Linked DNA regions of Oryctolagus cuniculus. The protein of the gene in region 1 interacts with the protein of each later gene in a pairwise test. Links are inferred from orthologs where the notes say so. Each region holds a gene or a part of one and is shown in the gene's direction. Other genes may lie near its edges.

Region 1 (4,325 bases):
GGCCCCTCCTCCTTGGCTGTTCCAGTCCAGGCAGCCAGGGGGCTCCATGAAGAAGTGAGGACTCAGGCTTTCGCACCAGCATCCCACCTCCGAGTCCCGGTTTCCCACCCAGCTCCCTGCTAATGCTCCTGGGAAGGCAATGGAAGACGGCCCAAGTGCTTGGGCCCCTGCCACCCACGGGGGAGACCTGGAAGAAGCTCCTGGCTCGCGCTCGGCCCAGCCTGGCCCTGGCTGCTAATGGCCACTGGGGGAGTGAACCTGCTGATGGAGGTTTTCTCTATCAGCTTTCAAAAGTAAATAGATAAACAAGCCCAGCCTCACAGGCTGCTGCCTGGCATCGCCAAATACCCCAGGCTGGGGGGGGGGGGGGGCTCATGCAACAGCGCTGTCTCTTGGAAGCCTGGGGAGTAGAAATTGAAGACCTAGGAGCTGGCGGGGCTGGAGGCCTCTCTTCTGGACCTCTCTCTTCTGGCTGTACCCCACCCCCTCCGTGTCTCTGTGTATGCAAATTTCCTCACAGGGACTCCGCATGGACCCTCCCTAATGGCCTCCTTCTAAGTCTATTATTGATTTTTTAAAGATGTATTTGTTTGTTTGTTTGAAAGAGTTACATAGAGAGGAGAGAGAGATAGCTTCCATCCATTAGTTCACTCCCCAGATGGCTGCAAGAGCCAGGGCTGGATCAGGCCAAAGCCAGGAGCCAGGAGCTCCATCCGGGTCTCCCACATAGGTGCAGGGGCCTGAGCACTTGAGCCATCCTCCACTGCTTTCCCAGGCCAGAAGCAGGGAGCTGGATTGGAAGAGGAGCAGCCAGGACTGGAACCTGTGTCCCTATGGGATGCTGGCGCTGCGGGCAGAGGCTTAGCCCACTATGCCCACAGAGCCGACCCCTGTTGTCCTGTTTTCTGCCTCACTGGGTCTCGTTAATCAGTAAATCCCCAGCGTACACAGCCAAGCCCTCATAAACCGCAGAGTGGGTGGACAAAGGGGTCCCCTCCGTGCCCTGCACAAGGTGGGTTAGGAGGGTGTATGAGGTGCTGGCCTCCCAGTCGCTCTGCGGGGTGTGTAGGGGGCGCTGCTGTCCGCCCTGAATCCCAGAGGAGGCTCCTGAGCCAGAGGAAGTCAGAGAAGGCTTCCCGGAGGTGACGGCTGCATCCACAGCGGGAAAGAAACGGGGCACCTGCAGCGCGTGGAGGCTCTGGACACTTGGGAGGGAACGAATGGGGAGCATTATCCCCACTGACGGGAGAAACTCGAGGCTGAAACTGTCTTGTCGACCCCAATCCTGTCTGACAGCTCAGAAGCTCAGAGCACAGAAACATAGGTAAGCGCCGCGCCACGCCACGAGTGTCCAGCAGGTGGCGCCAAAGCAGGAATGTCCAGGCACGCCTAAAGGCCTTACGGCTCCTCACGGCTTCCGTAGTACGGAACACGCGTGCCAAGATGGCGGCGCCCTAGGCCGCAGGAGCCAGAGTATCATGTGACTCAGCAACTTCCGTTGATCCCCTCTCGGATCTTCCCCGAGCCCTACTTCCTGCGCACTTGCGGAGACGCGCGTGCTGGGGCCTAGCGCGCTTCGAGGCCGCCGTGGGCCCGGCCCGGGTGGGGGCTCAGCCGTGAGAACCCTGCCGCGGGGGGCATGGAGGGCTCCCCGGAGGGGGAAGCGCCCGCCGCGGCGCTGGCCGCTGTGCTGAAGCACAGCTCGGCGCTGCCGCCCGAGAGCGCTCAGGTCCGGGGCTACGACTTCAACCGCGGCGTAGATTACCGCGCGCTGCTGGAGGCCTTCGGCACCACCGGCTTCCAGGCAACCAACTTCGGGCGCGCGGTGCAGCAAGTCAACGCCATGGTGAGGCCCGGGGCGGGACTTCCTGGCCGGAAGGGGCGTGGCCTCTAGGAGAGCCAATAGGGTTCCTCCAGGGCGTGGCTGCCAGGAGGACGGAGGGGGTGTGTCGCCCGAAGGGGCGGGGCCCACCCTGGGCGGGAACCGACTGCGAAGCGGCCTTTGCCCGTAGCGTCTGTAGGGGGCGGGGCCTGATTTTTGGTAGGAGATGGATTCTAGGCGAATTTTTGAGAGACAGAAACGGGGAACTCCGTCGGGGCCTCCCACGCGGGTGCAGGGTCCCCGGCACTCGGGCCGTCACCTGCTGCTTTCCTAGGCGCATTTGCAGGGAGCTGGATCGGAAGCGGAGAGCCTGTAGGGCGGGATTTTTAGTCCCCAGTAGAAGTGGCCCCTTCTAGAAAGTGCATTCTCATTTCCGGAACTCACCTTGGGGGGTCCCTGGCGTTTGCCGCCGGAAACTTAACCTGACCCCGGCCCCTGCCCCAAGATTGAGAAGAAACTGGAGCCGCTGTCGCAGGATGAAGATCAGCACAAGGACCTGACCAAGAGCCGCCGCCCGCTGACCGGCTGCACCATTTTCCTGGGCTACACGTCCAACCTCATCAGCTCAGGCATCCGGGAGACCATCCGCTACCTCGTGCAGCACAGCATGGTGGGACTGCGGCCTTGGGCAGTCATTCTTAAAGATTTACGTAGTTATTTGCAAGGCAGAGTGACAGATCTTCCATCTGTTGGCTCACTCCCCAAATGGCTGCAGCAGCTTGGGCTGGGCCATGCTGGAGCCAGGAGCTCCATCCGGGTCTCCCATGTGGGTGGCAGGGAGCCAAGTATTTGAGCCAGCACCTGCTGCCCCCTGCCCAGGATGCCCTAAAACAAGAAGTAGAGCAGCCAGGGCTGCACTCTGAGGGGGGGGGATACAGGCATCCGGAAGTGGTGCCTGTCCCCCAAAGTGGCCAAGCTCTTTCCTGGGGATCAGGGTTGAGGCTGAGTTGGGGACCGTTCCCTGGGAGTGGGGCGGGGGCCCAACTGCACTGCCTTCGAGCTGCAGGTGGACGTCCTGGTGACCACGGCTGGAGGTGTGGAGGAAGACCTCATCAAGTGCCTGGCGCCCACGTACCTGGGCGAGTTCAGCCTCAGAGGGAAGGAGCTCCGGGAGAATGGGATCAACAGGTTAGGGGAGGGGGCATCCCTGTGCACCGCTGGGGGGGGTGCTGAGGCTGGGGTGGGGGCTGATGGCCGCGTGCCTTCTGTCCCCAGGATCGGGAACCTGCTGGTGCCCAATGACAATTACTGCAAGTTTGAGGACTGGCTGATGCCCATCCTGGACCAGATGGTGCTGGAGCAGAACACAGAGGTGGGGGCTGAAGAGTCTTGGGGGGTGGGGAATGGGGTCCAGTGTGGTGCTGGGGGTTAGAGGAGCGTGGGCTGACTGCTGACATCCCCCCTCCCAGGGTGTGAAGTGGACGCCTTCCAAGATGATTGCCCGGCTCGGCAAGGAGATCAACAGCCCGGAGTCTGTGTATTACTGGGCACAGAAGGTGAGGGCCGCTAACACACAGCGTGGCCTCGCCGCTCTGAATTCCAGCAGTCTGACAAGTAACAAGAGATACCGGTGTGAGCTTCCATCCACTGGTGCACTCCCACAAATGGCTGCAACAGCCAGAGCTGGGCCAAAGGCAGAAGCCAGGCGCCTGGAGCTCTACTCGGGTCTCCCAGTGTGGGTGGCGGGGGCCCAGGCACCTGAGCCATCCCTGCTGCCGCTCAGCGCACATGCGCAGGAGCCAGGACTTGAGCTCAGGATGCAGGGGCCTCCTGCCCCGCCCCAGAGTGCCAGGCCGGGGCCAAGTGCTGGGTGTGCGTTTGTCACGTAGGCGCCCTCCTGCGGCAAGCAGAGGGGCCCAGGCAGGCTGCTCCCCAGCCTCAGCCTGGCCCTTCACTGTCTGCCCGCCTGCAGAACCACATCCCCGTGCTGAGCCCGGCGCTGACCGACGGCTCCCTGGGAGACATGATCTTCTTCCATTCCTACAAGAACCCGGGCCTGGTCCTGGACATCGTGGAGGGTGAGGCGCGCTGGGGCCCTGGGAGTGGCAGAGGGAAGGTGGGTGCTGGAGGGCTGAGGCCGGGGCCTGAGCGCGCTCTCTGCCCGCAGACTTGCGGCTCATCAACACGCAGGCCATTTTCGCCAAGCGCACGGGGATGATCATCTTGGGCGGCGGCATGGTCAAGCACCACATCGCCAACGCCAACCTGATGGTGAGCGCGGGAGGGCGTGGGAGCCCACTGGGCGCAGCGCCCCCAGGGCGACGGGTGCGGAGAGGAACAGGCCAGGACCCCCGCTCTCCCGGGGCTGCGGGCCAGCGAGCGATGCACGTGTCCGGGCGAGGGAGGCCCCTGGGAAGCGGGCCAAGTGCCCTGCGTGGGTCTCTAGCTGTGGCTCTAAGCTGGATAGGACCCGACTCGGGCGCTCACTGCTGCCCTCTTGCGG
Region 2 (4,275 bases), on another chromosome or scaffold:
GGTAATGGATTCTACAGGTCTGGTTAGATGAAAAGGGAGAAGTTTTCCGGCTCTGCCATCTTCAGTGCACTGCCGGTGACAGGCATATCAGGGTATGCTTTAATGCTTATCCAAGAAAACAACCGTTTCATTCTTTCTGTACTTTGCACATTTTGTGGAGAGGATGTTTTGGGGTTGGAGGATTTTAACTATACCCACAGCGGGGTCCTCGAGTTTCTGGCACTTTCCCTGCATCTTTTCAGCAGGGAAAAGGGGGTGGAGCTTCGGAGTAGCACAACTTCGGGTTTAAGCCTGCTTTCCTTTTGCAGGATTCTTAAGCACAGAGAAGTTCCTGTGCTTCCCCTTCCCTGAACCCCTTTACCCCATGAAACTAAGGGTAATAATAATACACTACACATGTGGTGAACAAGCCATCTGACACACAGCAGGTGCTTGGCAAATGATGGGAACAAAATCACACCGGGTTCTCGAAGGCACGAACTGTTCGTTCCACTCCCCCCCGTGGCTGTCAACGCCCAAGCCAGAGTGGCCACCTCCCTCAACCCGAGCCCAGTCCGTCACCGGGAGGCCACGAACTCGCCGCGCGGACCTCTCGGTGTTAAAGGTTCTGGCAGGCACAAAGACATGAAATTAACCGAGCCCTAGAAATTTAGATAGAAAGAGGTAAAAAATCAGATTGCGGGGGTCCCCGTATGCAAATACACGAATCCGAAGCGCACGCAGGCGACGGCCGCTTCCGCACCTCCGGAGCGGCCACGACGCGCGCCGGCGCGGGGGCGGAGATTTGCATGTGCGAAATCGGGAAGAGGGGGAACCACCCATCGAAAACCCCGGGAGGCCGGGCCCACTCCGCCGCGCGGCCCGCCCCCACGCGCTCCCGGGCGGCCGGCCCTCTTCACGTCAGCGCGCCCTCCCACCCGCTCCTGAACTTTAAGACTCGCTCGGAAGAACAACCTGGAGGAGGGGGCTTTCTCAGGAGCTGCCCGCCTTCTCACGCTCCGGGCTCCGGGCGATCCCTGGCGCTCCCGAGTATCCCGGGTTCCCGTGCCGGCCGCCCAGCTGCCAGGCCCTCAGCGCAGCGGCGGGGGCGGGAACGCGCGCGGGGCGGGGCGGAGACCGCCGAGGGCGGCCACGCGCGCGGCCGCGAGAACGCCCCGCCCCACGCCCCCAGGGGAAGGCGGCGGCGTGGGGGCCTACGTCAGCCGCGGGAAATCCCCCTCCCGCCTGGCTGCCCGCCTCCTGGCCCGGCCGGCGCTGGGCTCTCGTCCCGCTCCGCCCCCTTGGCCCTGGCTCCGGCACCCGGGAAGGGCGACGCTGGTGACCCGCAGCGCGAGAACTCAGGGGGTGGGAAGGTGTGAGCCGCAAACCCAGAGGAGGGCGGGAAGGAGGAGGAGGCCTCGGGGGGTGGTCCGGGGGACTGGGGTCCAGCCGGCAGAGGTCCCGCGGCCTCCTGACTGACTGACTGACTGGCGGGCCGACTGTCTGCGGCCGCCTCGGGCCGGGACGCTGGGAGCTGCCTGTGTGCGGGCGGCGCGATGAGCGGAGCCATGGCCTCAGGTGAGTGTTCCCGGCGCTGGGTGCCGAGGGCCGGAGCGAAGGGGGCTCTTTTGGGGGATGGGGGTAGGGGTCGTGCTGCCCTGAGGGTCGGGGGGATCGGGGCAGATTCCGTCTTAAAAGATCGCCTCGTCTGGCAAATTGTCAGGCTTTGAAAAAGTTACCTGCCTCAGGGTTTGCGTGCGCAATCAAAGCCAGACTCTGTAATTGGATTCCAGTTTCATAACCGGAAACCTGAGAAATTCCCCACGCCGGGATGCCAGGGTGAGGAAAGCCTCCGTCCGGATCGGAGGGGGCCCAAGAGTGCGCGTCCTTGAGCCTTGCTTGGTATCGAAATGGTGGGCTTGGGGTCTAGGACGAGAATGAGGAAGCGTGGGACCTCGGGCGAGCTCCTGCCTGCCGTGCGCCCTCGTCCCGTCGGGCGCCGAGCGGCGGTCGCTCTCGCGCTGACCGTCGGCCGAGCGCGGCGCGGCTGTACAGGTGGCCGCTGGCGGGTTCGCCGGGCGCCAGCGGAAAGTTTGGTCCTCCAAGTCGGGCATTTTCCCCGGGAAATCGGGCGCACGTACTTTGCGAGGTTACCGAGCCGAGACATTGAGTTCCCCGCCACCGCCTTGTTGGAAATGAGAGAGGGAACGAGGATTTTTTTTTTTTTTAATATCTGTGCTTTAACATAATGGGTGTTCGTGAAAACAACCAGCTTGTTTAATGTGCTTGTTGGCCGTCCGTAAATGCCTGGGTCTCTCGCTTTGGGGCGGTGAGACGCGTTTATTACGAGAAGCGGCTTTGCAGGGCTGCTGGGGGCAGGCTCGTCTGCAGCCGCGGAGCAGGGCTGCCGGGAACCCAGGGCGGCTGAGTCCGGTGGCCGCGGCTGCCCAGGGGCCGTTTGCAGGTACCGGGAGCAGCGTGAGCAGAGGCCCGGAGGCCGAAAGGGAGGGCTTGTTGGCGCTCGGCCCGCGGTCCCCCAGCCGGCCCAGGTGAGTGACCCTCGGTAGCCGGCCGGCCTCGAGTCGAGAAGAGGAAGTAGCAAGCGTAAGGAGCCTCTTTAAAGGGCCTAGCCCTGCAGTGCCATTGCGATGGCTGTAGGCTGAAAAGGAAATTGGGGTGTTTCACATGACATTTGATTTCAGTTTGTGGTTTTCATGTGAGAATTCAAGTGGAGTTTAAAATATTTCAACTTTCCCTTTACCCACTTAGGTGACCCCACACTTTCAGGTAATCTTATAAATTCATACATTCAAAGCACACTTAGTTTAAAAGTATACAGATAACTACAGCTGTTTGTTTAGTTTATTGGTTATCAGAAAGATTTTATTTGAAAGTAGTAAAGAATTCTGAGCGTTTTAAGTGAAAAAAAAAGGGGGGGCTGGCTATTTGAGCACACTTCATTAAGCTATTGCATGAATGTAATATTTATGAGTTTTTCCAAAAGACAGAAAAAAAAACATTCTTTAGAGTATTGTTAAGATTTGCATGATTTTAAAATGTGATACCTTCTAACTTTTTAATAATTTTGTATTGTGTGCTGTTGTGAGGACTAAGGATTCTTTAAATTGAAGGGAAAAATTAAATGGAAAGCTTTAAAAGTTTGCAAGTTGTAGGTCATACCTTTTGGTGTTTGTTTTTTGGTCTTTCTGGAGGTACATTAAAGTGGAACTCTTTTAAAACATAACAAGTTATTTAAATTAGTTTGAAACCACTAGGCAGAACAAATGTTAAAGGAGTCTGGGTGTATTTTACTTAGATAGAAAGAACTTGGAGAAAAAGATTGACTAAATATTCCTGTCCTGTTTTGAAGCAGTTTAACAAACAGAAAAAAAATTGTGTATCATAGTCTAATTTAGATTGTGTTTGTAGTAAGGTATTAAAACCTCAAAAAATATTTTTATTGATTACCAAGCATGTGAGACCATTTCTTCATTTCTCACCGGATGTCATATGTAAATAGGTATGTGCGATTGAGTAGGTGATGTCTTTAATGTAAAAGGAACACAGATCATAATCTCATAAGCAGAATTAATAAGTGCCAGCAGTAGCTAGAACTTTATACATGGTTCTAAAGTTTGTTCAGGTAAATCATCGGATTCATTGTTTTAGATTTCACAGTTTGGATTCTATTAAACTTTTTCATTCTCTTTTTAAAAATTAGCACACCGTGATTCCAGTCTTTTGACACAATTAAGTTGAATAGGCATAGTGAAGAAAAATGTTCCCAGACCTGTCTAAGGTATACCTAATTAGGTAGCAAGTATTCATATATTTTTAATATAAGTAAAATGAAGTATTTTATGTCTGATTTTGAAGTCTCTCATTGTTCTAGTAAACATGGCTTTGTTTACTGATAATACTATCTCTAGTAAATGTTTTAACATTTATATAATTTATTCACATTTTTCTTTAGCATATGGTTCTGCTATGTCATGCAATAGGTAGTACATGAAGCAATTGTCTATGTAAACCTCACTACTTAACAATTCTTTGTAGTGTTAATGGGAAAAAATAGATGTGAGCATGAAGCAACATGATCTTTAATAATGAAGCTGGAAGTTAGGAATGGGTAGTTAAAGCAAATGACTTCTTTTTTTTTTTTTCAAGTAAAAGCCCACAGATGTTTCAGAAATGCAACACACGAAAAAGTATAGAGATAGCAGTGGCATAAAAGGTGTTAGATGATAGACATAAAGGGAATGAACGAATGAAATGACTAAGAAGGGGTTCAGATAA
Region 3 (4,221 bases), on another chromosome or scaffold:
ACACACGCACGGAGCCAATCTGTTGTCCTGGGGTACTGCACCCAGCCCCAGGGAGCTGGTTGAGAGGTGTTGGACAGGGCAAGTGCCTCAAAAGCTTAGGGGGTGCCCGTGTGGCCCTGCACAGGGCTCTGTCTGCAGCAAGCGTGCAGCCAGTCCCCCACCGCGAGAAGGGTCTACGGCTCCCCAGTGGAACCTGTTCTCAGGCACAAGCCAGGAGGGTGGGCCTTTGCGGCGTAGCCCAGCCTGCAGGCTCCGGGGCTGCCCGGGGCCCACACGGCTCCTCTCGAATAGCCTGCCTTGCCATCCACCCTGGCCAAGAAAAGCTGCCAGGAACCTAATCGGAAGCCCACCACATCCCCAAGGAGCGCAGAGCCGGCCGGTCAGCAGGGCGGGTGGGTGGCTTTGCTCTCATCAGCCAGCTACTGTCCCCAACCCCCGAAGGCGGAGGGAGGAGGGGCCGGTGGGGGAGGCCTGTGTGGGTGAGGAGCCCAGACTTGGCTGGCTCTTCGGATTCCTCCCAGCTGGCGGCGAGGAGGAAAGGTCAGGCTGAGCCGAGCGAGCGGGAGCTGGCCACGCTGCAGCGCCCTGCGCAGGACACGCCGTGGACAGGAGGACGCTAAGGGCAGCCCCCAGTGCCCAGCCCTGTCCCCTCCCCGCGTCCGGCCCGCCCCGATCGTGATCACTTAGCATTTAGGCTGTCACCCTCAACCGACTTTTTATTATGGATCAGAACCTCGCGTTCCCGAACCCCAGCCCTCGGCGGGACATCCAGTACGTGTCAGCGAAGTCAGAAGAAAGTTACTTAGGTCGTCATCATCTCAGACAATGCCCTGGCGGGTTAAGACAAAAGGCGGGGGCCGCGGGTCCCGGGGCGGACACCCTGGCCGCCGTGACGTCATCGGGCCTGTGACGTCACCGCCGCGGCGCCCCGCACCCTGCGGGCCAGATGGCGTCACCATCGGAACCTGCGTAAACAAGTATGCGCTCGGGGAGCCGCGGCGAGAGAGAGACAGAAAGAGACAGAGAGAGAGAGACAGCGCGCTGACCCTGGGGCAGGAGCCGGGCCGGAGGTCCGCTCGGCCCCACAGGGCGTTAGGCCCCCTGACGGGCTGGCCCCGCCCCGGGCGGCCGGCGCGGGCCAATCCGGGCGGGCCGCGGCGCCACGCAGCCTATCAGCGGCCAGGGCTCGCCGGGCGCTTCCGCGTTGGGCAGCTCGCCGGCGCGGGCCGGGCCGCACGCTCGGCCGCAGCCCCGCCTGGCCGCTGCGCGGGGCCCGGGCCACCGCCCGCCGGGGCCCGATGGCCTCGGAGGACCTGGCGGGGGCGCTGGCGGCCGTGCTGGAGGGCCGGGGGCTGCGCGTGCACAGCTGTGACTCGGGGCCGGCCGGGCAGCCGCGAGCGCGGCTGCGGACCAACGTCTCCTACGTGGTGCTGGCCGTGTTCCTCAACGAGCAGGTGAGCGAGCCCGCCGGGCCCTGCTGGGCACGAAGACACAACGGCCAGGGCCGGCGCCGCCTCGCGCGTGGCGTTCCCCAGTTCTGCAAAGCACTCACTCACGCGCGCCTCGCAGCCCTGTGGGTGGCCGGGTGCACAGAGGGCTGCGCCCTGGCCCTCGGTTCCTGCAGCACAGAGCTCCCCTCCCCCAGGGCCTAGCACGGTGTGAGCTGGCTCCCCGGGACGTCTGAGGCGTGGCCTGCGCCCCCCCACCCCCACCCCCGCCTGGTTATGGCACAAGGCAGGCTCACGCTCAGATCTGACCCCTTGTCGCTGCTCTGGGTCCCTGTTGTAGGCTGTGAGATAAGAATCAGAAGGGGCCAGAGCCCCAGGTGGGCCTGCATGGGGGTGTTGGGGGGGGATCAGAACCCAGACCCCAGAGTGAGGACCTGCCACTAGGCTGTGCACCCCATGGGGACGCGGGAGACACACAGTGACACAGTGGAGACACACGCGCAGCCCGATCTTGACCCACAGAGAGCAGCTGGCTGCAGGCCCCCCGCCCCCAGGGAGGGGGTCTTGGGCAACCCCAGGGCAGGGAAGGGCCTGGCTGGCTGGCCTCTCCCGTGCGTGGTGGAGAGTGCCAATCCCCTCTCCCCTCAGGACGAGGTGCTCCTGATCCAGGAGGCCAAGAGAGAGTGCCGGGGGTCGTGGTACCTGCCGGCGGGGAGGATGGAGCCCGGGGAGACCATCGTGGAGGCCCTGCAGCGGGAGGTGAAGGAGGAGGCGGGGCTGCAGTGTGAGCCCGAGACCCTGCTTGCCGTGGAGGAGCGAGGCCCCTCCTGGATCCGTTTTGTGTTCCTGGCTCGTCCCACAGGTATGGCTCTCCTGGGGCAGTGCCGTAGCCGCCTTCCTCCGACTCCTCCACCCCCACCCTGTGGTCTTCCGGTGAGATGAGCCCACTCCCTAGCCAGCCCTGTGCTGACTGCTACAGCTCTGGCACTGGCAGACCCTAGCCTGGGGAGGTGGGAGTGGGGGAGGCTCAGCCCCGGCCCCGGCCCCGCTCGGGGTTAGAACCAGGGTGGCCTGCCGGGTCTGTGTCCTCTGTGAGATCCGGTGCTTCTTCCCACCCACACCACTGCTCCTGCCCCCACTCTCCCCTAGGTGGGACGCTGAAAACCTCACAGGAGGCTGATGCGGAGTCCCTGCAGGCTGGCTGGTACCCACGCAGCTCCCTGGCCACTCCTCTTCGAGCCCAGGACATCCTGCACCTGATAGAGCTGGCCGCCCGGTACCGCCAGCAGGCCAGGCACCCTCCCGTTCTGCCCCAGGAGCTGCCCTGCAGTGTGGTGTGCCAGCGGCTCGTGGCCACCTTCACCGGTGCCCAGACGGTATGGGTGCTGGTGGGCACGGTGGGGGCGCCTCACTTGCCCGTCACGGCCTGTGACTTCGCCCCTATGGAGCAGAGGGGCGGCCTGAAGGTGGCCGTGCTGCGGCTGCTCCAGGAGTGCCTGACCCTGCACAGTTTGGCCGTGGAGACCAAGGGGCTGCTGGGGTTGCAGCACCTGGGCAAGGACCATGCCGACGGCATCTGCCTGAACGTGCTGCTGGCGGTGGCTTTTCGCAACCCGGGCATCCAGGAGGAGCCCCCGAAGATTCGGGGTGAGAACTACGCGTGGTGGAAGGTGGGGGATGCAGGCCTGCAGGGCCAGCTCCTCCAGAGGTTGCTGGACTGTTCTGCTGTCCCACTGAACAGATAGGTGCCCTCCCCGAGGGACGCGGAAGCCAGCAATCTGGGCTCGTGCTGCATCGGCAGCAGAGGCTGCTCTGGGTCTCGGGGCCTGCGGGGAGCAGGCTACCACAGTGCATCAGAAGGGACAGTGCCTTCACCAAGCAAAGGGTCCAGAGGTCCAGGGCCCTGCCGCCAAGGGCACACGATGCGTCTCCCCCCCGGGTTGGGGAGGGGGACGCGGGAGCATCCTGGAGTCTCGTTGTTCTGTGTGCACCCCCATGAAGGCCCCGCCCTGGCCTCTGCGGGCACTTGGGGCTCCCAGGGGACCAGGAGGGCATCCCTTGCTGAGTAAACAGGTGTTGCCACCTGCCTTTCCTGCCCAAATGTCTGTGTGGGGAGGACACGAGGGGGCTGCTGCTGTGTGGCCCCCGGCTCAGCAGTGGCCGCCGCCCAGGCCTTTCCCTGACAGTGTGCTGGCACTGGCACCGGGCAGGACGTCACCGAGGGGACCACAGCCCCAAGGGAGGCTCAGCTATAACCCTGCGGGGTGGAGCAGCGGGCATCTGCAGAGAGCTGCCGGTGGGACGGGAGCTGTGAGTGGTGTCCCCGTCTCTGCCCAGCTCCATTCTCCTGGCCCGCCCTGGGCCGGATCCTCCACCGCCTGGCCTTTTCACAAGTCCAGTCCAAGCTGGAAACCCTTTTCTCCACTGCCCCCAGCCCAGGCCACCCATGGTGGGATTTCTTTCAGCTTTGCGAAAAACACAAGGGGAAAAACCACAGGGGACAAAATGTGCCACTGGCTGTGTTCAGGCCTGTGTCCAGCCACGCTGGGGAGGCCGGGCTGGATGGAGACCCCCCCAAGCCCCCAAACACAAAGTCTGTTAGATCATCACCGCTCCGACAGACATCACCACGCACGTCAACACGCGCCGTGCTCGCGGACACCGGGGCCCCCACCCCTCGGCGTCTCTGTCGCCGGCGGGCTCCCGGCCCTAGGTGAGGTGAGCATAAGAGACTACTGCGCAGCCAAGTCTGGCTCCTGGCAGGCGTGGGGGA
Region 4 (4,570 bases), on another chromosome or scaffold:
ATTGTTCCAACAACTTCAGGAGAATGGACTACATTTGTTGAATGAATAAATCCCAATAATTCCCAATAATTTGATTCAAGAGCCAAATCTTATGTGATGGTAGTTAGATCAGTGATTCTGGGGCCAAACTGCCTAGATTTCAGTCTTGGCTCTCTGACTTGCTAGCTGTGTGATTTAGGACAAATTACTTTTCTCTAGCCTGTTTTCATAACTAAAAATGCAAATAAAACAGCCATTAATGGACGCCAGGGACTAGGTGTTGGGGGAGGGGGCTAAATACAAATGGCAGGAGGAAACTTTTGGAATGAGGGAAATAGTCACTGTCTGGATTAAAGAGGTGGCTATCTGCCAATCTTTTTCAAAACTAAGAACTAAAAAGCATCCATTTTATTTTAAATTATACAAACCTGGGGTTTAAAAGAGAAGCAGTTAAGATTTAACAAATTTTGGACTAGCTGCCTAAGTAACCTGCCGTACTACCGATCATTCTAGTAACTTTAGGGAAAGCTTAGGTGGTGTCAGGTAAAACAAATTGGGACTCAAGAACCCAGAGTTCCAATCTGGCTCATTCATATACAGTTAGAGGCTGGGTTCCGTTTATGGGAAATCACTTGCTTATAATAAAAGTTAAATTAGACAACACATGTGAAATACATACATGTAAAATGTAGTCATATAGCAACTGTTCATGGGACTATTCATGGGAATACATAAATTGGAGTGGGAAGTAACTTCCTAGGTCACCTCCAGGGTAGCAGAATGTGAGCAGTTTGTGAAATGGAACTGTGAAAAGCACAGCGCATAGCCTTAGGAAGCTTGTCTTTACTTCTATCCAAGTCTATGGGCGCTCGGTGGATTCTGAAGACAACTCAACCGCTCCAATGTGGTTTGGAGAGATTCCAAACTCAGAAATACCTAAGCCAGAAGGGAAGAAGGGCTGCGTTGTCGCACTTTCTGGACCGCATAATCCGGCGGGAGTGGGCTCTCCTGGCCCCCACATTCTTCCGGCCTCTGGTGTGTGGGGCAGGGCAGCTCTGTTCTCCGCCCACTCCTAGGAGCCCGGCCAGGGGCAGAACCGCATCACGGGGTGGCTGGAGCCTCCAGCAGAATCTGCAGCGGGGAGCCACGGACTTAAATACCGCACTTAGGCTCTGCCTCCAGGAATAAGCTAGGTGTGAACTCCAAGGAGAGCTGCAAGTTGTACCAGAAGCCGGAACCCAAAGTCCTCTCCATAACCTCGCGGAACCCTTGGTGAACAGAGGACAGGGACTACAGGGCGCGCGGCTTGGCTGCCGTCAACGCCGACTGAGAGCCGACCGCCACGAACCTAGAAGTTAGAGAGAACAAGCTTTCCGGTCTGCGAGTTTAACCTCGGCAACTGAACTGTTGGAAGCGCTCCGCACGCCGGAAGTGCACTAATCCGCAGCACGTGGGGTTGCCAGGGCGCGCTTCACGTGACTGGGCGGAGCCTTGGGAACCCAGTAGCCAATAGTAGCCCTGGAAGGCGGTGCCTGTGACGCCTCGGGGCCTATCCCGGAAGTGGGGCTGGGTTGGGGGCGGGAAAAGGCGGGGAGACCGGGGTGTGGAAAGTGTGGCGGCCCCGCCCCGTGTCTTGGAACTGCTGCGGCCGCCACCGCCGCCGCCGCAGCAGCTGCAGCGCTGAGGTACCGGGCGCGGATGCGCAGGCGAAAGTCCGGGTTGCCTGCTCAAAGCTGAAAGGTGAAGACCTGGGGAAAAGCTGACTCGTGCTGGTCCCAGAGCGAGGGAGGGCAGGGAAGGGAGCCGGAACGAGCCATGGCCGAGAGGTGGAGGAAAGATGGATGGGGGAATGGAGGCGAGCGCGAGACCTGCCGGGGCTCAGGCCCTTGAGGAGCCGGGCCGGGCCGGGCTGGGCTTTCCCTGCAGAACAGGGGATGCCTGGGCGACTGGGGCGGCGGCGTGCGGGGCGGCGGGCGGGGTGCGCGCCGGCTGCCCAGGGGCCAGGTGCTGCTGACCACGTCGTGTCAACTTGCATCGTTCCCGGGGCCGTGCGGCCTTGGGCTGGGCGCCGAGCAGCGGGCGTGCAGGCGCGGCGCGGCGCGGTGCGGGAAGGTCGCGGGTTTCTGCGGTGGGGCAGCAGGGCGGGGACCTGCTGCCTGCCCCCAGCGCGGGTGAACGCCCGAGGCGGGAGGTGAGCTCCTCGGGGTTTTCCTTTCCCACCCGCAACCACCTCCCGATGGCTGGAAAAGTTTGTAGAGGCCAGAGTTTAGAAAAGTGCCCACTAGTCTTGGGTGGGTGTCGTGCAAATGCAAAAATGACAGTGAATCTTACCAGATAACCTGTCTGTCGCAAATAAGACGTTTCCCTGCCGGCATGCTGGTTATTAAAAAGCAAACACAAACTTTTTGCGTAGTTCCCTCGGAAGAACAGTCCTCTCCCCAGCCCACCATGGCAGACGAAATCGATTTCACCACTGGAGACGCCGGGGCATCCAGCACTTACCCTATGCAGTGCTCGGCCCTACGCAAAAACGGCTTTGTGGTGCTGAAAGGACGACCATGCAAAATAGTGGAGATGTCAACTTCCAAAACCGGAAAGCACGGCCATGCCAAGGTAAGCGCCCTTCCGAGTCGGGCTGTGGCCTCCGCGTTGGGATTTTCATCACTCGTATTCCATTACAGATCTTGACATTTCTATACTTCACGTTTTGTAATAAGCAATTTTTTTTGTTTCCGTAGTTATTAGGTGGTCAGCTGTTACCTTGAATACTTACAGGTACACGTCCTTCTGGGGGGCTTGTCATGTTTCATTGGGAACTGAGTCTCCCCGAATCCTACTGGCCTAGACTAAGATCTATTCAGTTTACCTTTGTGAAAACCTCTTTTAACAATTCTTAGAAACCTAACTTCATCTTTGTCATATACTTTCACAATCTAGATTACTAGAGTTTCTGTTATACTGGGTCTTGACGTGTCATGATACCATTTAGTTTTTTGATGTGTCTCAATTCTGTTAACACCATGGCTTTTTGTTTTTTGTAAGAAAGTAAAAGTAGATGACCCTGGCAGGAGGAGAAAGAATCTGTCATAATAAGTATTGGTATTGTACTCCTGTGTATGCAATGAGTGATACACTTGGCAGAGAATGAACAGGTCTTCTGTTGCCCTCTGTTAGGTTCACCTTGTTGGAATTGATATTTTCACGGGCAAAAAATATGAAGATATTTGCCCTTCTACTCACAACATGGATGTTCCAAATATTAAGAGAAATGACTATCAAGTAAGTACTAATTTCCCTTGCAGAATGATTCTTGTTTCTTAAAAGTACAGATGCTTTCTGTCAATTGTAAATTGACAAAAGCAAAGAGTGATTTGGAAGGTTTTTTTCCTAACCAATTATTAGGCACCACCTATCTGAGAAATTGGAGAAATAGTGATGTTTACCTGGTGTTCCTTATCTAGGATTATTGCTAATTGTTTTTAAACATTCTTGCATTTTTAAGAGGTTGAACACTTTGAGTGTTTCTCAAACCAAGTGACTGCATATTGCAAGTAAGTATGTATTTCATGAAATTACTGTTCTCTCTGTTGTAAAATATCTCAAATTTAGATAACTCCTTCCTGAGTACTTTTATTTCTTTCCTCTGATCAAAGACTTTCAAGGAACTGTTCTTCCAACTAAGTTTTTCTATTAATGAATGTTAGTCAGATTTGGTATTCTTAAGAAGTGAATTAGTCAAGAGCCATAAATAAAAAGTAAAGAAAATACAAAAATTATGTAATTGGTTTATTTATATTCAGTGACCCAGCTGGGACCTTTTGCTAAATTATATGTATAAACTTCAAGTTTTAGCTTTACTTACACATTTGGGTACATCATATTTAATGCTAGCATTTTGTTTGGAGTATTGATGATAAACAACTGACCTCATAGTCGGTGGAAGCTCAGATTAATCATAACTAAAACATTTCTTGAAAGTCTTCAGTTTCCTTATCAAGCATACCATATATTGAACTCTCTTCTGTTCATTTTACATAAAAGAATGTAAGTTTGACAGATTTGTTCTGTTCAACTTAAACTGATTTTTTCTGTGCCTTTTGTGTAGATTTTTAAAGAACATTGCTGTCAACTGCAGTGAGCCAGTGATTTCCTTTTATTCTTTGTCCACCTGCAACCATATTTTCATGTAGTTTTGCCACTTTCTAGCTCGATACTCTTGGATAAGTTATGTAACCTCTCTGAGCCTTAGTCTGCCAAACAGGGATAATGTGAGGATGAAATGAGGGGGGAAATGTACCAAAAAGCAGTTCTGGGCTGGGAAGAATCACTGTGTTCCTGAATTTGTATTTACGAAATGCATGAAGTTTGTATATCTTAAATAAAATTTTAAAAAACTAAATAAATAAAAAAAAACTTTAAAAAAAAAGGCAGTTCTGTTCTGCTCCCTCTTTTCCTGTATAAAATTGAACTTAATCATCCTATTGTTGGATCGCTCAGAAAGATGTGGTACATAGGTGTTCAGTAAACATTTGGTAAATGCAGTGCTGATTCAGTGTGGTAAGGTTGGCACAGCAGACTAAGGCTGGGCATG

Evidence for each region.
Region 2: the proteins of DHPS (region 1) and REL interact in binary tests that used the Homo sapiens proteins (3 or more experiments, as listed by UniProt). The two-hybrid records come from large-scale screens. The link is inferred for Oryctolagus cuniculus from reciprocal best matches to the Homo sapiens genes DHPS and REL.
Region 3: the proteins of DHPS (region 1) and NUDT18 interact in binary tests that used the Homo sapiens proteins (3 or more experiments, as listed by UniProt). The two-hybrid records come from large-scale screens. The link is inferred for Oryctolagus cuniculus from reciprocal best matches to the Homo sapiens genes DHPS and NUDT18.
Region 4: the proteins of DHPS (region 1) and EIF5A2 interact in binary tests that used the Homo sapiens proteins (3 or more experiments, as listed by UniProt). The two-hybrid records come from large-scale screens. The link is inferred for Oryctolagus cuniculus from reciprocal best matches to the Homo sapiens genes DHPS and EIF5A2.

Annotation. Positions count from the first base shown.
Region 1 is NC_091447.1:62,235,790-62,240,114, reverse strand, and holds the start of DHPS (deoxyhypusine synthase), read left to right. Parts: upstream 1-1,419; 5' UTR 1,420-1,639; coding exon 1,640-1,846; intron 1,847-2,327; coding exon 2,328-2,492; intron 2,493-2,888; coding exon 2,889-3,010; intron 3,011-3,097; coding exon 3,098-3,194; intron 3,195-3,291; coding exon 3,292-3,378; intron 3,379-3,794; coding exon 3,795-3,900; intron 3,901-3,989; coding exon 3,990-4,093; intron 4,094-4,325. UniProt on the Homo sapiens protein: Catalyzes the NAD-dependent oxidative cleavage of spermidine and the subsequent transfer of the butylamine moiety of spermidine to the epsilon-amino group of a critical lysine residue of the eIF-5A precursor protein to form the intermediate deoxyhypusine residue.
Region 2 is NC_091433.1:141,821,233-141,825,507, reverse strand, and holds the start of REL (proto-oncogene c-Rel), read left to right. Parts: upstream 1-1,246; 5' UTR 1,247-1,535; coding exon 1,536-1,557; intron 1,558-4,275. UniProt on the Homo sapiens protein: Proto-oncogene that may play a role in differentiation and lymphopoiesis.
Region 3 is NC_091439.1:1,194,191-1,198,411, forward strand, and holds NUDT18 (8-oxo-dGDP phosphatase NUDT18), read left to right. Parts: upstream 1-1,192; 5' UTR 1,193-1,298; coding exon 1,299-1,454; intron 1,455-2,096; coding exon 2,097-2,310; intron 2,311-2,597; coding exon 2,598-3,193; 3' UTR 3,194-3,536; downstream 3,537-4,221. UniProt on the Homo sapiens protein: Mediates the hydrolysis of oxidized nucleoside diphosphate derivatives. Hydrolyzes 8-oxo-7,8-dihydroguanine (8-oxo-Gua)-containing deoxyribo- and ribonucleoside diphosphates to the monophosphates. Hydrolyzes 8-oxo-dGDP and 8-oxo-GDP with the same efficiencies.
Region 4 is NC_091435.1:109,407,430-109,411,999, forward strand, and holds the start of EIF5A2 (eukaryotic translation initiation factor 5A-2), read left to right. Parts: upstream 1-1,541; 5' UTR 1,542-1,719; intron 1,720-2,392; 5' UTR 2,393-2,427; coding exon 2,428-2,592; intron 2,593-3,153; coding exon 3,154-3,258; intron 3,259-4,570. UniProt on the Homo sapiens protein: Translation factor that promotes translation elongation and termination, particularly upon ribosome stalling at specific amino acid sequence contexts.